Linked DNA regions of Astyanax mexicanus. Each later gene encodes a partner of the first gene's protein in a complex. Links are inferred from orthologs where the notes say so. Each region holds a gene or a part of one and is shown on either strand. Other genes may lie near its edges.

The links.
Region 2: sf3b2 (region 1) and ppil2 share a complex: the UniProt entries of both Homo sapiens proteins name them as parts of the minor spliceosome. The link is inferred for Astyanax mexicanus from reciprocal best matches to the Homo sapiens genes SF3B2 and PPIL2.

What each region holds. Positions count from the first base shown.
Region 1 is NC_064415.1:13,364,332-13,371,888, forward strand, and holds the start of sf3b2 (splicing factor 3B subunit 2), read left to right. Parts: upstream 1-4,472; 5' UTR 4,473-4,526; coding exon 4,527-4,653; intron 4,654-6,207; coding exon 6,208-6,254; intron 6,255-7,067; coding exon 7,068-7,127; intron 7,128-7,471; coding exon 7,472-7,557. UniProt on the Homo sapiens protein: Component of the 17S U2 SnRNP complex of the spliceosome, a large ribonucleoprotein complex that removes introns from transcribed pre-mRNAs.
Region 2 is NC_064429.1:31,212,630-31,219,837, reverse strand, and holds the start of ppil2 (RING-type E3 ubiquitin-protein ligase PPIL2), read left to right. Parts: upstream 1-4,159; 5' UTR 4,160-4,307; coding exon 4,308-4,339; intron 4,340-5,342; coding exon 5,343-5,392; intron 5,393-5,486; coding exon 5,487-5,532; intron 5,533-6,095; coding exon 6,096-6,158; intron 6,159-7,208. UniProt on the Homo sapiens protein: Has a ubiquitin-protein ligase activity acting as an E3 ubiquitin protein ligase or as an ubiquitin-ubiquitin ligase promoting elongation of ubiquitin chains on substrates.

The DNA.
Region 1 (7,557 bases):
TGTTTTATTGTTTGTGTTTTATTTATTGCAACCCCTGTGCTTCTTATTACCACTGCTATACAAATACTTTACTGTACCATTGTACTACAATGAACCAATCTTTTTTCTTTTGTTTACATCTTAACTACTGACATTTGCAGTCTTTTGGAATTTGAAAAATTATGGTGTACAGTAAGGGAAAAACGTATTGCATGCTAATGCTATTGGATATAAGATTATTGATGTGAAGCACGACAAATAAAGATCCTATATTAGTTTAAGTTTTGGTACTTGGCGTAGCTGCTAGGGGTGTGCCATATCGTATCGTACGTGATAATATCGCAAAAAGTTTGAATATCGTGAACGATATTATACCCTGAAATATCGTGCCATATCACTCACCCCTAATTATCACAACAGAGTACTACTTTTTTGCCGTTTTTACCAAAAGAAAAATTTACACTGTTCTCATTTCCCATTATTTATCTACTAGAGACAGATCATATAACTTTAATCCTGGATATATGGAGATATTTGGAGTGCATTATTAGTATCATGACATTCTGAATCATTCTGTAACAAATCTGATAAAATTCTTTTTTTTTATATCTCAGTTAGCCATATCATATTGCATGCAGTAATAAAATTGTAAATAATTTTTCTAATTCAGTGTTTTGACATATCGCCAAAAGTATCATTATCGTGAAAATACCATGAAATATTGTGATATTATTTTAGAGCCATATCGCCCACCCTTGGTAGCTGCATTATTTTTTTCCAGGCTAAGATGTAGTGTGGTGTGTGTGTGTTCATTATAGACCCCACTCTACCTCCAGCCTTGTTATGTCACACGAGCACAGTCTGTACTGCACTAAAACATCCCTCTGCGGCTGCATGCAGGTAATACTATTTGGATTTGCTGTTATTTGCGATATTGTAGCAGTTCTTTTAATAGGTCTGTTAAAACTTATATCACAATAACAATAAATATACTATTTATTTGCAGCAAATGACCTAAAGGTTTAAGGGGGAGGTCTGACTTTATGGAATGACATTATTATTTGGGTAACCAAGCATATTTACCTACTTAATTAGCTATTTTATTGTAACCAGTTTAATCCCCTGGACCAGCATGAAGCTTCCTTATCCCTAATTGTTCAAATGTTCAATATTCTAAATGTAACATGGCCTAAAGCAAATTCTCTAATCCCCTAATGAGGAGGTCACATTCTTTTGTAATAATGTGCAATGAGTAATGGCTGAAAATATCAAGCAGGAAACATAATTTTAAGGAGTTGACAGATCCTGACATTTTATTAATCATTACTTCTATTTAAGAAATCAGTTTACTCATTTAAATAAACTGTTCCTTAAGTATACCTAAATCAATTCCATATAAAGTGAGACAATGATTTAATAAATGTAACGTTATGGAATGGATTGTTAAATTGAGAAAACTGATTCTTAAACTGAGGGAACTCCCCAGCAATAAGATTAGAGAGTATGAGGTAAAGGCAGGAGTTCCTCTACACCTTTTACATACACTGACACCAACTGTTCCAGGTTAGCTAGTTCATAAGGAAACACCACATAGGCGTACTTCCTACCAATCCTGAAAACTATGAAATTAAAATATATTTATAGAGAGATAAACAGATATATAGAGAGATAAACCAATATATAAAGAGATAAACAGTGTGTAAAGAGGTCATGTTGCAACTGTGGGGCACTGAAGCATGTACAGGAGAAGGGTGGTGCCTTGACTAATGTGTTTATTGTATTGTGTTGAGGCCAATCAGGCCACTAATACACTAATATAGTATTTGTCTGCTCTGGCAGCATTACAGCGGTTTCATACGGTGTTTAAATGTCCATATCTCTGAGAGTCAGGCCTGCCGGGCAGAGATAAAGGCGGCATGGATGTGGCAGGGCCTGAGTTAAAGACATGCTCAAAACAGAGGCAGTGTTTTCTTCACTTCCTTTATAGAGACCACAAGAGCTCACGCTCAAAAAAAAAAAAAAAACACATTTAAACAGAGATAAAGCTCTTAAAGATGTGCAAGTTTTTAGACTGGATAAAAAGCTGCATAGCTTATTAAAACAAAACAAAAAATCCATAACAAACAAAAATATTATTATTATTATTATTATTACAACTCTACACTTAAAAAGCTCTAGTCTAAACAATAACTAGCTTAACAAACAAACATAAGATTAGCTTCAGAAAACTCATGTTAATAGATAAAAGGACCAAAACACGCCAATAAATAAGCCTATATTTACTATATCCAGCTCAGAAAGCAAAAAAACACTATGTTAGTTTAGGTTAGGTTAGCTGCAGCATTACTTTCAGAGCAGCTAATCAGCACGCTCTCACTGAAAACACGCTAAACCAGACTCCCTGTCCACAAACTTCCCATAAAAACACGGACACTGTTAGATAAACTGCTTACCTGCCTTTCCTCGGAGCACTTCGGTGAATTAAAGGCGTTTTTGTATAGAAATGTTCAGCGCTGGTTCATGCCCCCATCTGTACTGAGGGCAGAGGACCTTCCTAAAGATTTGCTACCATCAGAAACAACGCTGAACCCACCTGTTTTCAGGCACGCCCCGCCCTCCCACACCCGTATTCAGGCACGCCCCGCCCTCCCACACCCGTATTCAGGCACGCCCCGCCCTTCGACCACTGCATTTAGGCACGCCCCGCCCTCCAACAACCGCATTCCGATACACCCCGCCCCCTATTCCGTGATTGGCTGGTAGATGAAATGGGCTGTGACACATGTTTCCTTTATTTTCATGTCTGTTCAAAACTTAAAAACTTCAGACCCATATCCACTAATATAAACATTACATCAAATTATGTTAATTATAATGAAGATACAGTTATTTGAATAGTATGTTACTACTACGTAAATAGAAGAAATTATAGTTAAATAAGACCAATAACCTTAATAACTATTAATCCTATAAGACATACAAGGGAGACGTGCCCCAGTGTAAAGGCAATCCATCACTGTGTAAATCCATCCATTCCATCCTGAATTCACACGATGAGCGTTAAATATTGATATAGATATAAATATAGATATTGTATAGCATCACACAATATAGAACAAAACAGTATGTAATGAAAAAAAAATATGAAATGATTAATTACCTAAACCTAAATTAATACAACTACAAAAAGAAAATTTTCATATAAATAATTTTTCTAAGACATATTTTTGAGACAATATGAGGAATATTCAGTGAAATTATTATTCATTTTATGAACGTGCAGCAGAAAGAGTTTCTTCTTACTGAAAATAAAATAGTATAAAGGTTATGATGTCAAAGGGCTTTTTCTTAAAAGGGCGGAATACATTTCAATAGCTTTATATGTGATATATACTAAAGTAATTTACAGTGTATTATAGAATTGTATAGTACAGAATACAATGAAATAGTAATATCGTAAGATTTTTTTTTAGAATAGAATAACATAAAAAGTTATAAATTTAATTAAATAGTATAGTTGTTATAGAATAGTACTGAATAAAATATTATAGATTAGTAATCTGCTCTCAGTTCTATACTTTATTCAGTGCTACATCTGAGTAAAATCGTTAAAATGCTACCTCCTTCTGGCTTCAATACGCCAATGCACATATTATGCGAATTTACTGCAGCGATGCAACAGAATTTTATTAATGTAATAGTAACAGAATGTACTACGTCATTTTAAAAAAATACTACATTAATGTCACTGTAGAATAAACTAACATTTACTATAATTAAAACTACTAACTTAAATGAACTATGGCACCGTAGAATTTACTTAAATGTACTACAGCACTGTGGAGAATTTACTAAAATATACTATCGCACTGTAGAACTTACTAAAAATGTACTACTGTGCTGTAGAATTTACTATAATGTACTATAGCACTGTAGAAGTTACTAAAATGTACTGTTGCACTGTAGAACTTACTAAAATGTACTATGGTACTGTATCATTTAATAAAATTTACCATGGCACTGCAGAATTTACTAAAATCTAATGTAGCACTGCATAATTTACTAAAATATCACTGAATAATTTACTAAAATATAATGTAGCACTGCAGAACTTACTATAAATTACTACTGTAGAATTTACTAATATATACTATGCCACGGTGAATGTATTAAAATGTACTATGGTTGTGTATAATTGAATGAAATTTTGCTACAAAGGCACTGAATAAATGATCACACTTTTCTATGACCCTGTATAATGTTCTGCTCTTGTTCTTGTGTGTTCAGCGTGTTTACACTGGGCTACTGTATGAGTGGGAACGCATGTGCACAGTTTTAAAATCCTGCTGTCCTGTTCCGGTGGGACACAGCTCTGTAGAGCGGATGCGCTGATCTATAAACACTCCGAACCACAAACTCTGAGGTGTACATGAGATATAGATCAACGCTTCTGCGCAGTGGCCCGCCGGCCTTTATTCAAGCACGCATGCGCAGTGCCTGCTGCGTCGAGTCTGCGCGGCGGTGCTGTTGAACGCGGTTGTGTGAAAATGTCTAGCGACGGACCCCCGGGAGCCGAGACCAGCCCGGAGCTGGGCGCCTCCGCCGCGGCGCTCAACACATGGAGCCACGCTGAGCTACAGGCCAAGCTGGCGGAGATCGGGGCGCCGGTAATGGGTGAGTTAACCCGGGGAGAGGCGTCTGCAGCGGGCCGGGGGAGACAGCTAAACTAAACTAAGCTAAGCTAATTAGCACGCATGCTAATCTGGAAGCTAAGCTAACTGCTTCTGATGCCGGTTGTTTGAAACAGTAACTTAGTTATTAGCTTGGTGTTTAGTGTTTATTGTGGGTCATTGCTGCGAGCGGGTTCTCATGATGTGTGTAAAGATATTAAGGCTGTTTAATCGAGTTTATTAGCACGTTAAACTGATTTAAAACGAGTAAAGTTGCGTGTAGCTGCGCCATGTTGGTTCTGTAGCTATCAATGAACTGGGAAACTAGTTAGCTAGCTAACTGTTAGCTGTTGTGGTAAATGTTGTGTCCTAAGTAAAACGCACACAACCCAAGCCCGTCATATTGCTAAACCTCTTATTTCATGACTACTTTCTTATTCTTGTGTATAAATGTCAGACATGTGTTTATCAATACAAGTCAGTTGGTCTATGTGTCAATACTGCATACAGCTCTGGAAAATCAGACAATTTGAAAATGATGATTTTCTTTGATTTTACTAAATTGAAAGCCCCTGGAATATAAGGAAGGAAAATGGGTAATCATAAGCCATCAAACCAAGCTGAACTGATTGATTTTTTGCACCAGGAGTGGCAAAAAATTACCCAAAAGCAGTGTGTAAGACTGGTGGAGGAGATCCTGCCACAGAGCTAATAAATATATTCATGTAATCTTCAATAAATGTGTTTTTATCTTATCAGCTACACTAAGCATAAAGGTGCAATATGTACACTAATAATTACATAGTAGAGTCCTGTATCTGTTTCTCTGTAGACTTCACTGTCTTCCTTTTACCCTGTTTATTCAAATGGTCAGGACTCCACAGGTCTGCTACAATTGGTCCGAAACAGCAGTGCTGCTGACGTTTTTAAACACTGTTCAGTCTATTAGGAACTCCTACCTAGTTCTTCCACCTTGTAGACGTAAAATCAGAGACGGAGGCTCTAAATCTGTTGATGCACTGTTAGGTCATCCTTGAGTCCTTCATCAGTGTCCACATGGTGCTGTTGATTGGATATTTGATATGGATATTTGTCTAGTCCAGCAGAGACTCCTTATGTTGTTTAAAATCTCCAGCAAATCACTAAAATTAGAATGCATACAAATCATTTTACGAAAAATAGTTTAAGTGTGTCATCTGTTCTGTTGTGATCTGGAGTTTTTAGAGTAGAAGCTCTCTTACTACTGAGAGATAAGTTTAAATAATGAGCTTAGTTACCAAAAAAAAATACACAGAATATAACTGTAAATCAATAAAATACAGAAAGTAGAAAGTACAATGTGAACATGTAATGTTAGAGGTAAGCTTGATGTTTTGCGAAATGCTAAATGTACAATAGAGTGAAGTACAATGTAAAGTTGTGCAATTAGAGAAGTCACAATTATTATTCACATTTGTTGAATTTCCTGTGTGTAATGTATGCATATGAGAGTAATGCATGGCAAACAAAACAGTGCAGTTGTTTAATACAGTATTTTCTGTTTATTCTTTTTTCTCAGGCCCTAGAGAAGAGTTAATAGACAGGTTGAAAAATTACATGATGCAGGTAAGAGACTTGTAAAGTAAATAATTTGGTTTCACTGTTTGTACCTTTTTTTTTCCACTGTTATTTTGAGCTTGAGTGTTGTGATGAAGTAGGCTATACCCCTCTTCATCACCATAAAGACTATATCACTTACCTGTGTACACTCATGCTCAGCCTGTTGAGACAAAAGGGTACTACACGTAACTCAAAACCTTTTACTTACCTGGGTGAGTCCATCCTTGCAGAAGAGAGGGGGAGTGTGTACCTGTAAAAGAAAGGGAAGAAATGTGAATGTGTATTTTATATGTACATTGAAACTCGTACAGATTTCAGCACTTACAAACTGATTAGAGTTTGCTACTATTATTATTATTATTATTATTAATATTGTTGTTCTTATTATATCATAGTACCATGTACTTGGTGTATCATTACCCGGTTCTACCCGTGTGAGAAATGGTATGTTCATGGGAGGGGTTAATGGTATAAAAGGTGTACTGGATCTATGAGTAAGGGGGGGGCAGATAGTTCGGGATATCAGCCATGAAAAGAAGCTCTATACGACTGTATAGGAGATAGACCTTATTCTCTGCGTGAAGAGATTATTTTGTGTTTGTTTACTTTTCGTTTTCTTTTCTCGTCAAGTACGTACGCCTGTAAATTTGTAAATATTAGTGTTGGTGTGTAAATAAACGGTGTCGGATAAACTGTACCTCCTTGTTGCCATGGTTACTGGCCCTGCTTCTGAGCGCTCGCCCTACACTACCCATAAAGTTTCGTTCTGTCCTTGCTGGATATGAATGCGCTTTATCACAAGTGTTTTTTTCCCCTCAGACTGGAATCATGTTGAATAAGCCCAACATACCTGGTGGAGATGACAAAGGCATGCCCACGGTAAGCCCTCTTATTTATTATGTTTATATCATCATGTGATGTGAATTATGGAAAATAAATTAAATGTAGAGGTAGACACTCAGTTTTCACAGTTTCAGATCCAGTTTTCACCCAGAACCAGAGACCCTGAATCTTTTTACTAAAATAAAGCTTGAGAGGATTTAAACAAAACATTTATTATATATACATTAATTGTACAGTTATTAAGCAATTTTTTTTACAAAAAATGATTAGGAGGTCATTTCAGCCCTGCTGAATACCTGAGATCTAAGTTTTCTGGTCTTTTGATCTTATGATTTTTGCTCATGTCAGTGAATTAACGTCTTCCTTCTCTCACCTTATAGATTCCAGGTCTGCCACCCATGCCCCCAATGCCATCCATGCCTCTCCCCCCAGGAATGGGCATGCTGCAGGCTATGGGAATGATGGG
Region 2 (7,208 bases), on another chromosome or scaffold:
ATAGCCCACCAATGCTCTGCTACAGCTTTGTGAGATCCAGTAATTTTGTACTTTTTGCCCAGCACTCTGTACAACGGCCTTATAGGGGCATATTTTACACCGTTATCCAGTCTCAATGTAGCTCCACACCTCCTTAGTAGAATCTGGAGAGCTCTGACTTTAAATTGAGGCATTAAAAACTTTAAAAGTGCACAAGAAGCTTATTAAAAAATACTGTTTACATCTCATAGTGCAGGTAAATCTCTGGGCGCCACCATCTTTGTACTGATAATGTCATAGACATATATACATAGATCTCGCATAGCCTGCCTCCTGTTGTAGCAGTTTCTTATAACTTAATGTCCTTAATGCCTCGTTTTAAATGTTAGGGCTCTCCAGATTCTATCAATGAGGTGTGGAGCTACTTTGAGCCTGGATAACGGTGAAAAAAAGTGATTTATTGGGGCAAAATATGCCAGGTACGGCCGTTTTACAGAGTGCTGGGCAAAAAGTAAAAAATTACTGGATCTTAAAAAGCTGTAGGAGAGCGGTGGTGGGCTATTCAACAAAGGTAAGAACTTTTTATCATGTTTTACTACAACAAAAGTCCATTTTACACCAGAGTTCTCCTTTAAATACCCTCCCACTTCAAGCACTGGCCGCATCCCAGCAGCGTACAGAACAGTGAACTGGTGCTCGAGTCAATCACGAAAACCAAATCAATGACACTTTGCTACACAACCTCATCTTCTTATCTGAAGTCTTTGTTTTTTGTTTTTTTTTTGGCCTTCTTTGTTGCTCGCTGCCAATACCGTATCAGTAATGTTCTCTCACTGACTCTTACTGGCTGGAGTGGAAGCATACTGGGGGCGCTGGGATACCGTGTATTCCTGTCCTGTTTGTTGTATCAGCAGCTGCTGCTTATATGTTCATCGGTTACACCCAGAGAGCAGAGCTGCACTGAATCACAGGTAAAGTGCAGCACGGCTCGGAGCTCAGCGCAGGAAGAGTCAGCTGTTCTGAAGGAGGCACAAACCAAATGTGAGACTATAGTAATACAGCAATAAATAAAACAAACTAACATTCATCAGTCTGTCTGTGTCGTCCTTATCATCATCACCATCATCATTATCCTCAATTTTCTTCTTACTTCCCAAATATTAAGAAAATATCACATTTTCTACTTTAATTTTTTACAATCATAGATCATTTGTGCAGTTCTAAACCATTTTATTTCTATGGAGTCAGACTCTACCTCTTTTATGATGCAGTATTGCCGAGTAGCATCACAGTGCACTCGGAGGAAAGCGCAGCGACTCGGTTCTGATACATCAGCTCACAGATGCTGCCTTGTGCTGATCGACATCACCCTAGGAGTGATGAGGGAAAAGAGCTCCATCTACTGTACCCACCCAGAGAGAGAGCAAGGCCAATTGAGCTCTTGGAGATCCAGCAGCTGATGGCAAGCTGAATGACCAGGATTCGAACCAGTTAAAACCTGTACTTTAGTGAAATTTGCTAGCAAAACATTAATTTATGTTGCTCAGACAAATTAATTATTATTACTGAGCTGATGAACCTTTTGTGTGTCAAAATAAGACTTTAAAACATTACTTTAGTTGTGTATAAGTTAAATATCTTGCTATTTGTTTTGTTTTACTCCTAAAAAATGAATGTGATGTTAAATCTATACTTTAATCACTCTTTTATTGTTCTTAATATTCAGTTGGACAGCTCACACAAATATACTTAAATTATATTAAACAGTGGTGAAAATAACATATAGTATCAATAATATACTAAGTATGAATTTAGTGCAAATCTATCTAATTTTAATTACAAATAAGTAGTAATTAAGTACGAATTAGTGGTTCCAAAATAACATAATTTAAGGCCTATTTTAGCATAATTTAAATGTAATTTTTTCACAAAGGAATAGACAAATAAATAAATTCAAATTCACTTACTTAAATTCATTGTAAAGAATACATTGTCCTCTTGTGTAGCCTCTTTTTCCTCTTGTGCGACAGGACAAGTGTCACACCAATGGACATTGCTGGAAAAAATATAGAGTACCATACACTGACCATTCTGCATTTTTAAGGATTTTTTTTTCTATTATTTTTGCTTTCTGGGTCTTTTTGTACTTTATATTATACACATTTTCTTCACAAATGATGAATTTAAGAAAATTAATTTCATGAAAAAGGAATAAAAGTGACGAACAAATAAACAAATGTTATTTCATTATTTAAAATCATAAAACAACGTGTCCTCTTGTGTAATATCTTTGTTTTGGTGTGATAGCGTAATTGTCACACCTGTGGACCTTTTTAGTGTCTCACTAAAGTACATTTCGGTCTTCAGTGTCATTTAATGACCCAGCTATTGATACAGAACCTGTCATTAGCTGTTAGTAGAATATATCTGTATTGTTGTTCACTGTTTAATAGTGTAGTTTAATGCACATTTATAATTTAAGGGTGCCGCACTAGTGGACAAAAATAATGGAACACTCTCAGAGAGGAGGGAACGAAGAGTCACTTGATCGTAAACCAAAAAAATGTGAGAAAAAGTACAACAAATATAATATTCATGCATCTGCCAGTGTCATCATCCTCATCATCACCATCATACTATCCGAATATGGTCTTATAATTGTAGCAGTATATTTAATAAACAGAAGGATCAACTTCTCTCTCAATACTGGATTATCTGAAGGTAAGTCCATAGCTGACAAAGCAGCACTGAACACCTATATTGAATATCGTCACTGTCCAATGAAAAACAAGTTTCCCCAAAACATCATCTTTACAGAAGAGAGAAAAAACCTTCTTAACTCAATGGAGGTCAATGTAAAAATACTTTATTTCAAATCATTTTTAAGTATTTCTATTTGTCCATTTATCAAGACATTTTGGCACATTGTAAGGGAATGTTTGTGTGTTAAAACTATGTGGTAAACTAAAATCAACAAAAATAAAGATACTTGTTTTTCATTGGACAGCGACGATATTAATATTATCCCTTTATTAGCAGAATATCATTACCATTAGACAGATGCCACTCATGGGGCCTTCCACATGAATCCAGCCATGTGCAAAGGTTTGACTTTGGATGTGATCAAGATTTGATCCAGTATCTTCTAAATAAGATTAATCAATAAGATTAATCAATAAGATTAATCCAGAATAATCAAGCATCAAGTGCTACTAGTGAAGCCTTTGTTTTTGGAGCACGTGTCTACTAACTTTTAGACATGGGGTGAATTTATCTATGAATCTTTGCTGATGAATTAATAAATCAATGATTTAAAGGCAAAAGGCCTGTTGGACATGTGGGCCAATAGAAATGCAGAGGCAGGGAGTGTGAATTTTGTCCACAGTGTAATAGCGCCACCTGCTGGATGGATAACTCAACATCATATGAACTACAAACATTTTTAAATTAATATTTTTTTTTCTGTTTTTTGGTGATAGGAAGATTTTTTTTTGTTTAAAGAAAAATTCAAAATGTGCTCCTGCATATCTTTAGGTCTTCAATATTAAATTTATAATAATGAAAAACACACAGTGAATGAGAAGACAATAAAACGTCTGACTGGCACTGTTTATGAACTATTTTTTATATAATAGTAAAGCAGTATTGGAACAGATGGTTTTACTGCACTCTTTAATGCAGCATTTACACACTTTACACACAGCACATTCACAATATATATAGTTATTATTATTTTAATAGAATCAATTGTACTCTAATATTAGTAATAACGATAATCCAGAACAGTGAACAATGATATATATATATATATATATATATATATATATATATATATATATATATATATATATATATATATATATATATATATATATGGGGGTGGACTGGGCAAACCAGAGAAACACCTTCTGAAATGTGTAAAAATGAAGTAAAAATGGCTAAATAAAATAAAATATAAATATTATTTGGATGGCAAACATGAGCTTATAATAATAGTATTTATTATTATTATTATTATTATTATTATTATTATTATTATTATTATTATTATTGTTATTACTTACTTTTTTATTTAATTATTGACTTTTTATTGTTATATTATTATTTATTTCCAAAGGACCCTAAAAGAACACAAAAAGGTAGTGGGACACAAAAAGCGCCTTCCTGTGTTTAACCCGGACTAATGTTACTGTAGTACAGCGCTTAGCCCGGACCCGTAGCTATAGCAGTTAGCTAGGTTAGCTAAGCTAATAGCGCTGTAACTGTGTGTTTTTAGGTGTAAATTATCGGTGTATTCTCTTTGGGAGCTGTTTACACATTAAACAACAATGGGGAAGCGGCAGCACCAAAAGGACAAGATGTAAGTCTGCATTAATCCGGATTAAATCCGTTTTATTCATCGAATTAAACTAGCTGCGCTGGTTCAGCCTAACAGCTAACTGGGTTAATCTGAACTCTTAAAACTCTATAAATATCAGGATTCAGTTTAATATTTAATAAAACAGCTGAAACTTAGTTAAAATATGTATATAACCATGTTTCTCTTTTCCTAGGATAGTACTGTATCTGTTTTCTCTCAATTTAACGTTACTCTGCATCATTTATAATAATTTAACGTTAGATAAACATCATTAAATAAACTGTTTTAGTAAATATTAAATCAGACAATAGGCTTGATATTTAATTCATATTTTGTCAAATTTGTTTATATGCTTGTTTGTTTATATTTGCTATTTATTTTTAATGGTATTATTATTGTTATTATTTGTATTATTTAAAATATATATTATTTAATATTTTGTTTTAGCGTCACTTTAGTTTCTTTTCTTTTTCATTTGGCTTCTTTAAAAAACAGAATGTATCTTTTCAACCTAACTTTTTCTTTGAGTACATTAGCTGTGTATTTGTTGTTGTTGCGTTTAGTTTGTTTGTTTGTTATTTTTCTTGTCAATCCCTGTTAATCTATTTGCTCGGCAGCTAAAAACGAGGGTCACCCTCAGTGTAAAATAGATGTTGATTAATTGATAAATATGATGGATTGATTGACACAGCTGTTTAAGCAAGATGTTATTTATTTTGAAAAAAGCTAAAATATTAATAAAGTCAACAAATTGAGTGGACAATACTAAGTTAATCAGAGATTATTGAGATTATGCCTGTTTAGTGGACAATAAACAACGACCTTCCTGATTTTATGTGTAAGAATTAGATTTTTAATATGTCAGTGTTAAGCTTTAACTAATCAAATTACAGTCTAAATCTCAAAGTTTATTTGTTATAAATGGTACATATGACTTTCTGCTCACTCATGAAGAGTGGTGAATAGTGCTGCTCATTTTATTCCTACTATTCCTATTTTTCAGGTACATCACCTGTGCAGAGTACACACATTTCTATGGAGGCAAGAAAGCAGGTGTGTATTTTTGGAGCATGGCAATACATTCTTTTCCTTTTTACTTTTTTTTTTTTATTATTAACACTTAGTGCGATCTTTCTTTTATCTGCAGAAATCCCACAGGCTAATTTCAGACGATTACCCTTTGATCACTGCAGGTGAGTTGTACAGATAGGTGTGTCTGTGTTTGTGTGTGTGTTTCATTTATTGCTACTTTTGATATCAGACTTCTTAACAATTACAGATCTTTTATTAAAAGTTACAGTCCTTTTATTAACAATTACAGTCATTTATTGCTGAATAGCTTTTGGCTGAATAGCTTTTGGATGCACATGGCTACCGGATCAGCAGAATCTAGTAGAGGACATTTCAGTAAATTATTCAGAGGCAGCCAGCCGTCGCTTTTCACTCCAGTAGCCTGACCTTAAGCACTATTCCTCGATTCTATATAAACTAACCCCACTATACAAATACAAAATATGCCTGTATATAAATTTGCATTTTAAATTTTGCATTGACATGTCTATTAGTAATAAAGCTTTGCAAATGTCTTTGCACTAGGAATTAACACGTTTTAGGGGAAGATCTGTATTAGAACAAAATAATTTATATTATATTACTTTATGCTATATTTGATATCTTTTCATCCTGTGGGGTCTAAATCAGGATATATATATTGTTTCCTGTTCTCACTTGTGTTTGGGTCTTTGTGTTCTTTCAGTTTGTCTCTTCAGCCCTTTGAGTATCCCATGTGCACCCCTGAAGGCGTGGTCTTTGACCTCATGTAAGTACAAGTACACTAATATCACAATCCCAGTATCAGTCCTCTGGTCACATATACTGGTGATCACCTGAGGGGTTAATAGTAGGGATGCACAATGATATTGGAATTTTATCGCTATCGGCTGATTATCTCTTAGAATCATTGGCATCAGACAATTTGGACGATATTTCAAACAATACTTGCTGATGTATTTGTTGTATGGCAAAAAAGGACCAAGTGTCACTAGCTGCACTACTAGCACTAGCTAGTTTGCATTTATTTGTATTAGTTTTAAAGTTATAAAGTGATACTGGTGTATGTTGTCTTTCTGTAGTTTAGAAATGTGTACCTTGACATCGACAAATATATATATAAATATATATATATATATATATATATATATATATATATATATATATATATAAATATAAATATATATATATATATATATATATATATATATATATATATATATAAATGTGTAATTTCATATATTTGCATTAGCGTAGAATTTCCCACATTGGTACATCCCTAATTAGTGTAATTACTGATTTGGTTCATGTAGGTTGATTTTATTTGTGCAATAGAAACATTATGGATTTTAACATATTCTTATGTATTTAAATCTGTATTTGAAGGTTTTATTATTTTCTCTGAGCAAAGATTTTAATCTTAGGACAAATTTAATACAAATGCTGTTTGATGCTGTTTTAGCTGAAAGGTTCTTTGATGGTTTAAATGGTTCTACACCATATCTTTGTGTGTAGAGCAGGGGTCACCAACATGGTGCCCGCGGGCACCAGGTAGCCCGCAAGGACCTTATGAGTAGCCCGCAGGCCTGGTCTAAAAATAGCATTTTTGTTGCTATTCTTTTTTTTTTAAATCACAGTTGCATTGATGTAATTTTAGATTATATTACATTAATATTAGCTTAGAGCCTATAGTTTATATATTATTATACAATATAATGTAATATAATATGTAATATTATATTAAAATATAATATAAAATGTAAACACTTGCAGAGATTTATAATAATAGTGTTGCCTATTGATATCTGTGTCTTCACAT